Danio rerio: one gene and its partners. The protein of the gene in region 2 interacts with the protein of the main gene of each other region in a biochemical or structural test. Links are inferred from orthologs where the notes say so. Each region holds a gene or a part of one and is shown on either strand. Other genes may lie near its edges. The genes, in order: cdc7, mcm4 and mcmbp.

What was found.
Region 1: of the proteins of mcm4 (region 2) and cdc7, one has a biochemical effect on the other in vitro, tested with the Homo sapiens proteins (2 studies listed by BioGRID). The link is inferred for Danio rerio from reciprocal best matches to the Homo sapiens genes MCM4 and CDC7.
Region 3: the proteins of mcm4 (region 2) and mcmbp form a complex in vitro, tested with the Homo sapiens proteins (2 studies listed by BioGRID). The link is inferred for Danio rerio from reciprocal best matches to the Homo sapiens genes MCM4 and MCMBP.

The regions. Positions count from the first base shown.
Region 1 is NC_133177.1:11,292,866-11,296,524, reverse strand, and holds part of cdc7 (cell division cycle 7-related protein kinase), read left to right. Parts: intron 1-32; coding exon 33-238; intron 239-571; coding exon 572-654; intron 655-3,659. UniProt on the Homo sapiens protein: Kinase involved in initiation of DNA replication. Phosphorylates critical substrates that regulate the G1/S phase transition and initiation of DNA replication, such as MCM proteins and CLASPIN.
Region 2 is NC_133199.1:39,260,884-39,264,542, forward strand, and holds part of mcm4 (DNA replication licensing factor MCM4), read right to left. Parts: intron 2,003-3,659; coding exon 1,743-2,002; intron 1,530-1,742; coding exon 1,164-1,529; intron 1-1,163. UniProt on the Homo sapiens protein: Acts as a component of the MCM2-7 complex (MCM complex) which is the replicative helicase essential for 'once per cell cycle' DNA replication initiation and elongation in eukaryotic cells.
Region 3 is NC_133188.1:28,753,131-28,756,889, forward strand, and holds part of mcmbp (mini-chromosome maintenance complex-binding protein), read right to left. Parts: intron 279-3,759; coding exon 152-278; 3' UTR 1-151. UniProt on the Homo sapiens protein: Associated component of the MCM complex that acts as a regulator of DNA replication.

The DNA of each region.
Region 1 (3,659 bases), on a different chromosome or scaffold from region 2:
ATCAGCTCTTCACCTGTCACATTGTGTTTTAGGGATTGCTTTCAAAGCCCAAAAAGGAGGAAGTAATTCCACGCAAGATTGTTTCTGCCAAACATCGCTCCGTCCCTGTCAGAGCACCATTAAATCAGAAACAGAAACTTCCGGCTGAGAGTCAGAAACCTAAACCTGCTGCCGTCAACCCCCTACTCACCTGCAACTGCTACATGACTGACCGCGTCTGCAACATCTGCCTGTCCAGGTACACACTCGTCATCTATACATCAATCCAAACCTTAAAAAGCCTACTGTGGCATGTCTACGGTGAAGAAAAAAGAAAGATCAACACTACACAGTCTACTACATGCATCTATACTCTGTTTTAGCCCAATTCTAAAAACACCCACATTTGTCATGAACTGCTATCAGATTTATTGTTAATAGTGAACTAGTGATAGTGACTAGTGATTAGTTACATTTTGAGTGTTTAATAAGCTACATCAGCCTTTTCAGGAATTTTTTTTTTTTTGCATTTCTCAATAAAAACATTCTATTTGATGGTTTTAATTTAATAGTGTGGTTATTTTTTTCACAGGAAACAGCAGGTGGCTCCGAGGGCTGGTACCCCTGGGTTTAGGGCTCCTGAGGTTCTAACCAAGTGTCCCAACCAGGGAACAGGTAAAGCTAACAAAAGCAATGCTATTATTATTATTATTATTTTGGATGTGATTCAGTATTCCAGCTCACTGTATAGAAAATACTATCTCTTTAACAGTTGGTACAGTTCTGTCTTTTTTTAAAACTTGTTCATGGTTTCCGCCACACCAAAATTGATCCCGCCATGGCTACATTACAACTTTTTATTCATATTATTCAGTTCTGTTTTTTTTAATAGCGGGTGATAATCGTACCAAAACGTATTAAAAGGTAAGTGAATTATAACGGGGCAAACTTTTCTGTAACCGTAGTAGTACTGTGCGTTATTTGTTTAACCCTTTAAGGTTATGTGCTGACTGACAGATGCGTGAGGCCAGCAATTACAACGTATACTAGTTTAACTTTACTTCAGGGCGCATTAATACCGCTCTGTAGGTCTATTGGAGACATTCAATAATATTCCTAGCAAATCTAATAAATGTTGGAGACATACTCGTTACATAAACGCACTAAATCGCACCCAGCAGCATTTATTTGAGCGCGCACAAGAAGATCTGCGCTTGAGCAGCGTATATTTAAGGATGTGCAAGAAGTTTTGTGCACTAGCAGAGGAAATCGGCGCGCAAGCAAAGAGTTTCACATGCTCGTAGGCTATTACATAAATCCGATCTCAACTTGTAATACTGCGCTCACGACATTTGTCATTGAAATAACGCAACAGGTAGTTAGCAGATCTGTGTAAAAAAAAAAAAAAAAAAAAGGCCTGCCACCACAGCTGTAAAAAAATCCTAGTGAAAACACTGTTGTGTACTTTATACACGTCCATTTGAAATTTATAATGGTCATTCTACAATTGCAGGTATAATTGACGTTTTCTTACAGTAGTAACCTATAGGTTATATAAACTTGGGAAATAAGTAAAATAAGAAAAAAAGTTTTATACATGTGTGTGTGTGTGTGTGTGTGTGTGTATATGTGAGAAATATCACACTAGTACCAGTGTGCTATGGCTGTATTCACCTTATTCTCCGCCGACGAGTGGGTGCTGCCATTTGAATCTTTTTGGCTCTAGACTTCCGGTCTCATTCACTTCCATTTATTTTTTTAACGTTAAAAACTGCTCGTTATGCTGCTAGATGTTGCAATTAGATTTTTTTTATTATATTATTCTATTTGGTCTGTATAGTCATGCAAATATTTGTTTGTAGAGCAAGTAGTTTGACCATTTTCTGCTGTTTATTATTCCTAGTCATTTCTCCCATAGGCGACTGAATCGGAAGTTCTAAGACAATCGCGATAACAGGCGCACTTCTGCATTTTAGAATAAGGTCAATATCAGCACTGGTGGGAGGCGTGCTTTGTGCCCCACCAGTGCTGATATACAGCCATAGCACACTGCTACTAGTGTGATAATGCGTTTATACAACAGTTTGATGGCACAATCTTGTACATAAAAAAGAAAATCAAACACAGAGAGTCTAAAACCCTATTGTATTAGGAACTACTATCTTCCACCATTTATTTACATCTGCAGCTGACGTCAGAACAGCAGAAGCTGTTCTGAATCCAGCTTCTTATTCGCAGCTTGTTATTGTCTCTCTCTCTCTCTCTCTCTCTCTCTCTCTCTCTCTCTCTCTCTCTCTCTCTCTCTCTCTCTCTCTCTCTCTCTCTCTATATATATATATATATATATATATATATACATTTATAACAATTAATAAAATTTAATATTAAGTAATTAATAATATTTATGCTTGTATACATACAAGTTTAATAAAATATAGAAATAAAACTTATTTGCACTCCAAAATATATGTACAAAAAAGGTGTGGTTCTTCCCAAGGGGTTCAAAAAGAGCATTTATTAATATGGACTTTTTAGATATAAACCAATACTATTTTAATGTACCGACCCAGCTTTGTGTATATTAATAGACATGCACATCATTCAACTGTTTATTTTATAAAAAAATTTTTAGTTAATTTTTTTTTATTTTAAGAAATAATAATGTATGCAGTCATGCACGTTTTGACAGATAATATGATGGTGATTTGATGCTTCGTAAAAGTTGCAGACACCCGAAATCAAAATGCTTGATGCAAAATTAATTTAAATTCTTTACACCAATTGAGAAACTTAAATTCTATTATACTATAATAAAGAAAATTAGCTCTGAGTTAAGAGTATTTAGCAATTTATTTAGTTTTACATTCAAAGTTCAAAACCTACAACCAACAACAAAAGCGTATAGCTATTGCCTATCATATTTATCAAACCATTTATTACGAAGTTTATGCAATTTTTCTCACATGGATAATTGAATATTACTCAGATGATGTCATTATGGTGCTGTGCCATAAGCCAATCGTTGGTCATGATTTTGAGGATCGATAGATCAGTCCATCACAACAAGTGTACCGATCTCCGATCAGTTAATCCAGACATTTTAATGTTTCGTGAAGTTGTTTGAAGAACCAAATCAGCCAGAGATCAGGTATCATGATTAAAAGTGACAAATCATCCAAGATCATTTAAGCGAGGTACGAAGACGGGCCCATGGTCTGTCCCTACGTTCTGGTCAACTTTGTTACATCGTTTATATAAAGCTATGATGACATTCTTTAATTAAAGCACAGATAGACAAAGCATGTGACTTGCTCCAAGTTGGGTCACTGTCTCTGATGATAAACTCTGGAATGCAGGGGTCACCAATCTCGGTCCTGGAGGGCTGGTATCCCTGCAGGGTTTAGCTCCAACTTGCCTCAACAAACCTGCCTGGATGTTTCAAGTATACCTAGCAAGACCTTGATTAGCTTGTTCAGGTGTGTTTGATTTGGGTTGTAGCTGAAATCTGCAGGACACCGGCCCTCCAGTAACAAGTTTGGTGACCACTGCACTAAGGCATGTCATTTTCTCTCAACAATTTAATAAAAAGGTTTAGGACACCAATAGTAGATTAACCCTTGTGTGCTGTTGGGGATGTTTTCATCTGCTCTGGGATGATTTTGTGTCTTAATTTGGCCGCA
Region 2 (3,659 bases):
ATTAGTTTGTTGTATTAGTATTGGTTAGGTTATTTTCAAAAAGTAAGACTTACTGAATCTGAGACTATTTATAGGCCTTTTGTTCATGAATTCTGACTCATTAAAGTCCATGTAATGATAACTACAAAAACATTTATTAATCTTAGGTGATGTTAATTTGTAGTTAATGCTTAATTTATTGAAATGCTTTCATTTTCTTTATTTCTTTTTTTCAATTTCTCATTGCATCCTGGCCAAATCTGCCCACTGGCCTCTGTCTATCATGGCCTTCTAACCATCCTCATATCATAATGGGTTCATGGTCTCCTCTCCACCAATCAGCTGGTGTGTGGTCTGGCACAATATGGCTGCCATCACGTCATCCTGATGGATGCTCCACACTGGTGGTGGATGAGGAGACCCCGCCCCCCAATGTGTAAAGCGCTTTGAGTGTCCAGAAAAGCGCTATATAAATGTATAGAATTATTATTATTATTATTATTTAAATCTAACGTCGAAATTGCTTCATTAAATGTGATAAACAGACTTATTTGGTTGTATTTTTTGCGAACGTTGACATAACTATAATAGGCGACGCAGTGGCGCAGTAGGTAGTGCTGTAGGTAGTTCTGTGTGGAGTTTGCATGTTCTCCCTGCGTTTGCGCGGGTTTCCTCTGGGTGCTCCGGTTTCCCCCACAGTCCAAAGACATGCGCTATAGGTAAATTGAGTAGGCTAAATTGTCTGTAGTGTATAGTGTGTGTAAATGAGTGTGTATGGATGTGTCCCAGAGATGGGTTGCAGCTGGAAGGGCATCCGCTCCATAAAACATGTGCTGGATAAGTTGGCGGTTCATTCCGCTGTGGCGACCACTGATTAATAAAGTGACTAAGCCAAAAAGAAAATGAACGAATGAATAACTATATTGCATTTTCTCATTCTTGATTTTAACGAATTATTTTAACGGTTTATGAAAGAGAATTTATTGTAAAGTGTTACCTATTTTACTTTATCATCCTTTTGCAATTTAATGTGTTTAAAACATTTATTTTATCTCAACATGTGTATATATAATAAAGCATTTTTGTAACTATACTTGTTAAATTACTGCAGCTTGGGTCAATACTGTGATGAAACGTATATAGTTAAAAAACTAAGGTAATCAGATACGTATAAGCCTATGCACCTTAGCAATAGAGAGCGTCTGCTGCTCCATGACCTCGTGCAGCACAGATCTGGTGTTGTCGCTCATCTTGTCGAACTCGTCGATGCAGCAGATGCCATTATCGCTGAGCACGAGCGCTCCGGTCTGCAGGACCAGCTGTCGGGTTTCAGGATCCTTCATCACGTAGGCTGTGAGACCAACGGCGCTGGATCCTTTCCCGGACGTGTACTGACCGCGAGGAACCAGGTTGTACACGTACTGCAGCAGCTGGGATTTACTGGTGCCCGGATCACCACACAGCAGGATGTTGACTTCAGCACGGAAGTTTCCTCGGCCCGTCTGAGTGAAGTCCTTACGCGTCCCGCCAAATAACTGCAACAGGATGCCCTGGAAAACATCAACACCATCAACTTGTGTCCTGACAGCATATTCCTTGATGTAAAGGTCTCGTGAAGTGCTTTAAAATGTGCATTTTTATTCGATGACTGACGTAATCTCAATCAACACATGAAGACGGAGTGGGACAAGTTCGCAAGTGGAGGAGCAATTCAATTACACTCAAAACAACTTCATCAATTTAGAGTTTCCCATCATACTGACCTTCTTGATGTCCTCGTGTTCGTAGATGCTGGGAGCCAGAGCAGAGGACAGGCGCTCATAGACGTCAGGTTTAGCGGCTAGCTCTTTTAGCAGAGCGACTCGTTCTTTAGTGAAGAGTTTCTGCTCTCCGTCCTCGTCCAGTCCATGCAGACGCTTCTCGTCAGTCTTGCGGAAGTGAATGGCGTCAATGTGGGTCTTGTAAACAGACTTCACCTGGCTCTGCCGTGGGTTCAGACGCATCGGGGCAGCTCTGTAGATGCCTGAGCACAATAAAAGAAGAGTTGCTCAGTCATTTTGCCAAACGAAAGACAAAAACATGAGTGTAAAAAAATACAAAAAAAATGTACCAAAAAAAAAAAAAAAAAAACAGCCTATGCCGGTTCTTATAAAGGATTCAGTCAGTGTTTTCATTTTGTAACCTAAGCCCCCGTTTACACTGCCAGTTAAATGTGACCCAATTCCGATTTTTTGCTCATATGTGACGCAGATCGGATCTGTTCTACGACTGAGTAAACACAAAAAAAAAAAAAAAGGCATGCATTCGGATGTTCAGAGATCGGTTTCAGGCCTCCTTCGCATTGGGAAATAAATCAGATTTAGATCGGATATGTGACAATGCGACTGTCATGTAAACAGGCAGATCGGATTTATTGAGGCATTCCGTTCTGTACATCATTAAACTTGCGACAATGTGGTGCTTCTCCGCAGTTTAATGACAGAAAGAAGAGCGTGTGTGGAGATGCAGACGCGGTAAACAACATCAGAGGAAACACAGAGGAGGAAGTGGTCAGTCGACACCATTTGCTCCCAGCAGACCCGAGATCTCTCTCGTACCCACACATTCCTCTGAATGGTGGAGGACATCATAAAGCATATAAACCATAAGCGCAAGCTGCGATGACGGCCCTTTTCCTCCTCCACCACAAAATCATTTTAAAGTTGGGCGAACTTCGTGTTGTAACTTTTGCTTTTTGTCACTATTAATACACATAGAACAACTTTATTCTCTCTAACACCAGTGCGCACACAGGCAAAGGCTACATATTTAACTACACACACACACATCAGTGCCATACCATTATTACTACGTGGGGGTAAATCTGGACTAAACCATTCACTGCTTATACTACACTTCGCAGAGCTAAAAACAAGACAATTTCTTCCATCGTGGCTAGTGTGGCATAGATGCTAGAACCCGGCTTTATGCATGCGCGACAACATAAATTGTATGGCAAGTGTAAACGAGTGAATTGGATATGGGTCACAATTAAAACAACGTGTAAACAGACAGGCAAACAAATCAGATATAGGCAACAAATTGGAATTGGGCATCAAGACCAAACAGTGTAAACGGCGCCTAAATTAATAATTTAATTGAAAAAATTGTTAGGGCAGGCCTATTTATTTTATTCATTTAATTTAGTTTATTCTGTTTTTCTATGCTGTTGGAAATACTGCAGGTGTGTGAAGATACTCTGTTGTTATGTTCGCATGTTAAAATAAATCAGTGTTTAAAATGCAATATTTAATGTGTCAGACACAACAGAGACGTCAAATTTTTTTAAACTAAATGCTAATTTAATATTAATATGACCAGTTAACAGGTAATATTTGATTAATGAGCGGCGGTTGTCGGTAAGCAAAATTAACCAAAATGAGCATCCCTACTTCACAGGGGCGTAAATCCCAGGGGGAAAAGGGGGGACATGTCCGTTCCTATCCGAGGCTTGTAATTCTCCATAAATCTGCTGCATTAACGATTGAAATTACTTATTTGGGGTGTCAAAATTAATTGTTTCTTCGGTGCACCGCGATGCAGACGCGGACAATAAGGTATCGGTTCCGTAATAATCATAACCGGTTATTATGTACTGATGTCACGTCATTGATCTCCTATGCGCTCTGTCACGAGGGAGG
Region 3 (3,759 bases), on a different chromosome or scaffold from region 2:
CTTCACCAGTGTCTAAGTTTTCCCAAAGGTTTAAAATGTAGTAAAAAAAACGAACTTTACAAGAGTTTTTTTTGCCATATGAAAACATTACTTTTTAATCCAAAATAATAAGTATGGTATCTGTTTAGGTAGTTGTAAATAGCAATATATTTTAAGGCTCGTTTCCGTTCACACATTTCTGCTGTTGTGTCCGACTAATCCTCAAGGCCTCGAGCTGCTTGGCTTTCATCCAGCCGTCTCTAGAAAGTGTGTTCTGTCCATGACTCAATGAGAGCAACCTGAAAACAAACGTAAATAAGAATTGAACTTATTTGTTCAGCAGAAAAGCAGCAACTCATCATGCATAACATGCTGTGACAGTGCAATGCTACAATTAATATCAAGCAAAACATGCATGTTGCATATATTCCCCTAAGAGACACTTCCAGAGCCACAGTTCACATTTGATTAGAACAAATGACTTCAGACTTGATATTAAAAATAAGGTTTATAGTGAATGGCAGCACAGTTCTGCTTTTGTTTTTTTTATAAAGGTGTTCTGAATACTGCTAAATAGAAAGTATTTGTAATGAAGTTAGTGGAGCTAAAATACTTTTAGAAATAGGTTTATAAGTTTATTTGCTGAATATCATTAAATACAGAAAGCATAAAAAGCTGATGTCACTAAAGCTGAATGCACAGATCCAAAATTACATGTTTTTAAATGGTTCACGTATCAAGCAATAAGTGAACTTATATCCAATTTCCCAATGAATCCCATGCACACCTAACCGTGAGAAACTGCATGCATGTCAGATCAACGATCACAGCTTAACACTGCACATCCTGCTAAGTAAATTGATGATACATTGTGCTTTCTTCAAAGGCATTGCTCACCCAAAATGGAGAGTGACCTCATTATTTACTCTCACTCTTGGTTTTAAACCTTTAGTTTCTTTATTTTGTTGAACACAAAAAATATATTTTGAAGAACGCTGGCTGTTTGGACTTGTATTCAGACTCAGTGTATGAATTCAAATTAACTGTTGATATCAACAGTTATAAATATCAACAATTTAATTGATGATTATATCATTAGAAAAACTGTTGATATCAACTATTGAATTGTTGATATCAGAAATTGCATTTCCTGTTAAGTTAGCCATTTTTACTTTTATTGCTTAACAGGGTATAAATTCTTGATATTAAGCATTAAATTGTTGATCTCAACAATCAGCATTTTTGATATCAAGAAATTTATTTTCTGCGAATGCTGACATTGTTATGAGTTGAAATGCAATTCTTTGTCAACAATCTGCATTTTTTAAATCAAAAATGTAATTCTTGATATCGAGACTTGATAAATTCATATTCTATTCAGATATCATATATTTCAGCATGTTACTTCTGAAATCTATAAATGTGATTAAAAGAGTAGTTTCTGATATCTACAATTACTTGTTTTAATAGTATTAATTCACAGTGTCAGAAATTAACATGGTCATAAACTTACATTTTTGAAATCATATTCTGGGAATGAATAAAGATGCTTTCACACTCTTGGTTTAATTGCCTGGTCCGAACCAAAGTTTGATTGTCCTCCTTTGTCAACTTCTTGGCTTGTTTGTGTTCACACATCTTTTTTTTCTTTCTGATCCCTGGTACGTTTGCGTCTTTGTGATGTGCTTGTGTGTACAGTGGTTGACAGCTACGAAAGCCAAGGCGACAAAACGGAAAGAACATTTGTTCTGCTTTTACTAAATCTTTTGGTTTTGGACATACAGACAGGAACTCGCAACTATCTGCCGCAAAAATATTAAAAACGTTCAGAACATAACGCAATGTCTGCAGAAGTTGTTTTTGGAGAAGACAAGCTGATATTATCACTGTGACAAGTAGGCCTGAGCCAGGGCGAACACAAAGGAAACGTTAGGTTGTACACTGACATACACACACACGAATGAACATTATGAAAACTAAAGTTTGTTGTACAGTTGGCGCTTCACTTCCGTTATTTGGTATTAAATTCATATCAGAATTGGACCAGAGTTCACACGAACAATATGCTAGACAACCTCTTTCAGGCAGACTCGCGTGCAGTTCATAAGGACACCTGAGTTCAGATGACTGTTCACACTAGCTAAACGTACCGTACTCTGACGTCAAGCGAACCCATGTGCGGTCCAAAAGTGCTAGTGTGAAAGCACCCTAAAGGCTCCTACACACCGGGACGTTTTTTGTTTGTGTTTATCGTCAGCGTTTTACGAGACGTTTTTCAGTGGCGTCAAGCAGAAGAGTATGCTAAATCACTAGGGATGTAACGGTATCAGAATTTCACGGTACGGTAATACCTCGGTATGAATGTCACGGTACGGTATTTATTGAATCATTTACAGGAAAAAACAAAACTTATGAAAATACTCCAAAAAAGTGCCAAAAGTGTCAATGACATACAAATTAGCCATCTATCTGTAAGCTTTGAAACAGGAACTTCAATTTTAATAACAAAAAAATATTAAACCATGTAAAAAAATTAAGTTTCAATTTAGTATTGTTGAAAACTCATCACATTCAACATTTAATCACTCACTCACTTAGATAGAGATGGGTTTAAAGGAAAATTATCATATAAATATAATCTGGTAAAAGCTGGTATCTCTGGGTATTTACAATGTCCCCTGCAACAGAAAAAAAAACTCTCATTTGGGACTGAGGTTTCTGGGACAAGAGAGATATGACGCGACGCGACAACACAGCTGATAAGAACTCGCGCGACAACACTGCTATTCAGTACGCGCGCGACAACACCGCTATTCAGAACGCGCGCGGCGACAACACCCGCTTTAGAGTTTTACAGCTCTTTTTCATCCCCGCTTCTAGCAGCACACTCCATTTCCGCATTACTGGATCTGTAGCGACAACAGACCGCAAGGGATGATGGTCAAGCATGGGCTGATGGGAATTGTAGTCCCGTTCGCTTCATTCGCCTGAGCAAATTTTCTCAGAAGACCTATAGTTTTACCGAGTCATGCGACTTCGGTAATATCGAAAAAAATTAATATTGCGGTATGACGGTATTTACAATACCGTTACATCCCTATAAATCACTCTTTTGACGTTGGCGCTGCGCAACTATAAGCTTCTGACACCCGCTTATAACAGAAGAAGTGGAGGAGCAGAAGTTCACAGTCACACGCATGTTGTTAAATTTACTGGTGACTCGAACAAGCATGGATGGTTCAAGCAGCAGCTCCAGCGATGAAGAAATGATTAGTGTTCACAGAGCAATAAGCAGCTCCACGTTCATATCGCCTCTGGGCATCTTCTTCATTGTGCGTTTGCATTGACAGTTTTGAGCTTGAGCGCCTCCAAGTGCTGTTTACGATAACTTCAGCAGCTCCATGCACGTGAACAAAAGTGCCGATCTGATTGGCAGAGAAGGTTTTGACGCCGCGCGTCAAAACAAAAAAACAAGCATGAGGCATTTTTTTAAAAATGACACTTTTGCGCCTGGCGTTTTGCGCGCTGGTGTGCACAATCAAATTGACAGGCTTTATTTAGTCACGAGGCGTTAAACGTTGACAGAAAACGTGAGCAAAAAATGTCTCGGTGTGAACGGGCCTTTAAAGGGCAATGACACACCCCACTTTCGGTTAAAGTCTACTTCAGAATTTTTTCAAAAGAAGCATGATTAATGGGCATGGAGCTCTGCGAGCATCGGGCAGGAGTGGGCGTAGCCAGCAGGGGAGAACGTGAACGAACAACTGTTGTTGTCAGTTA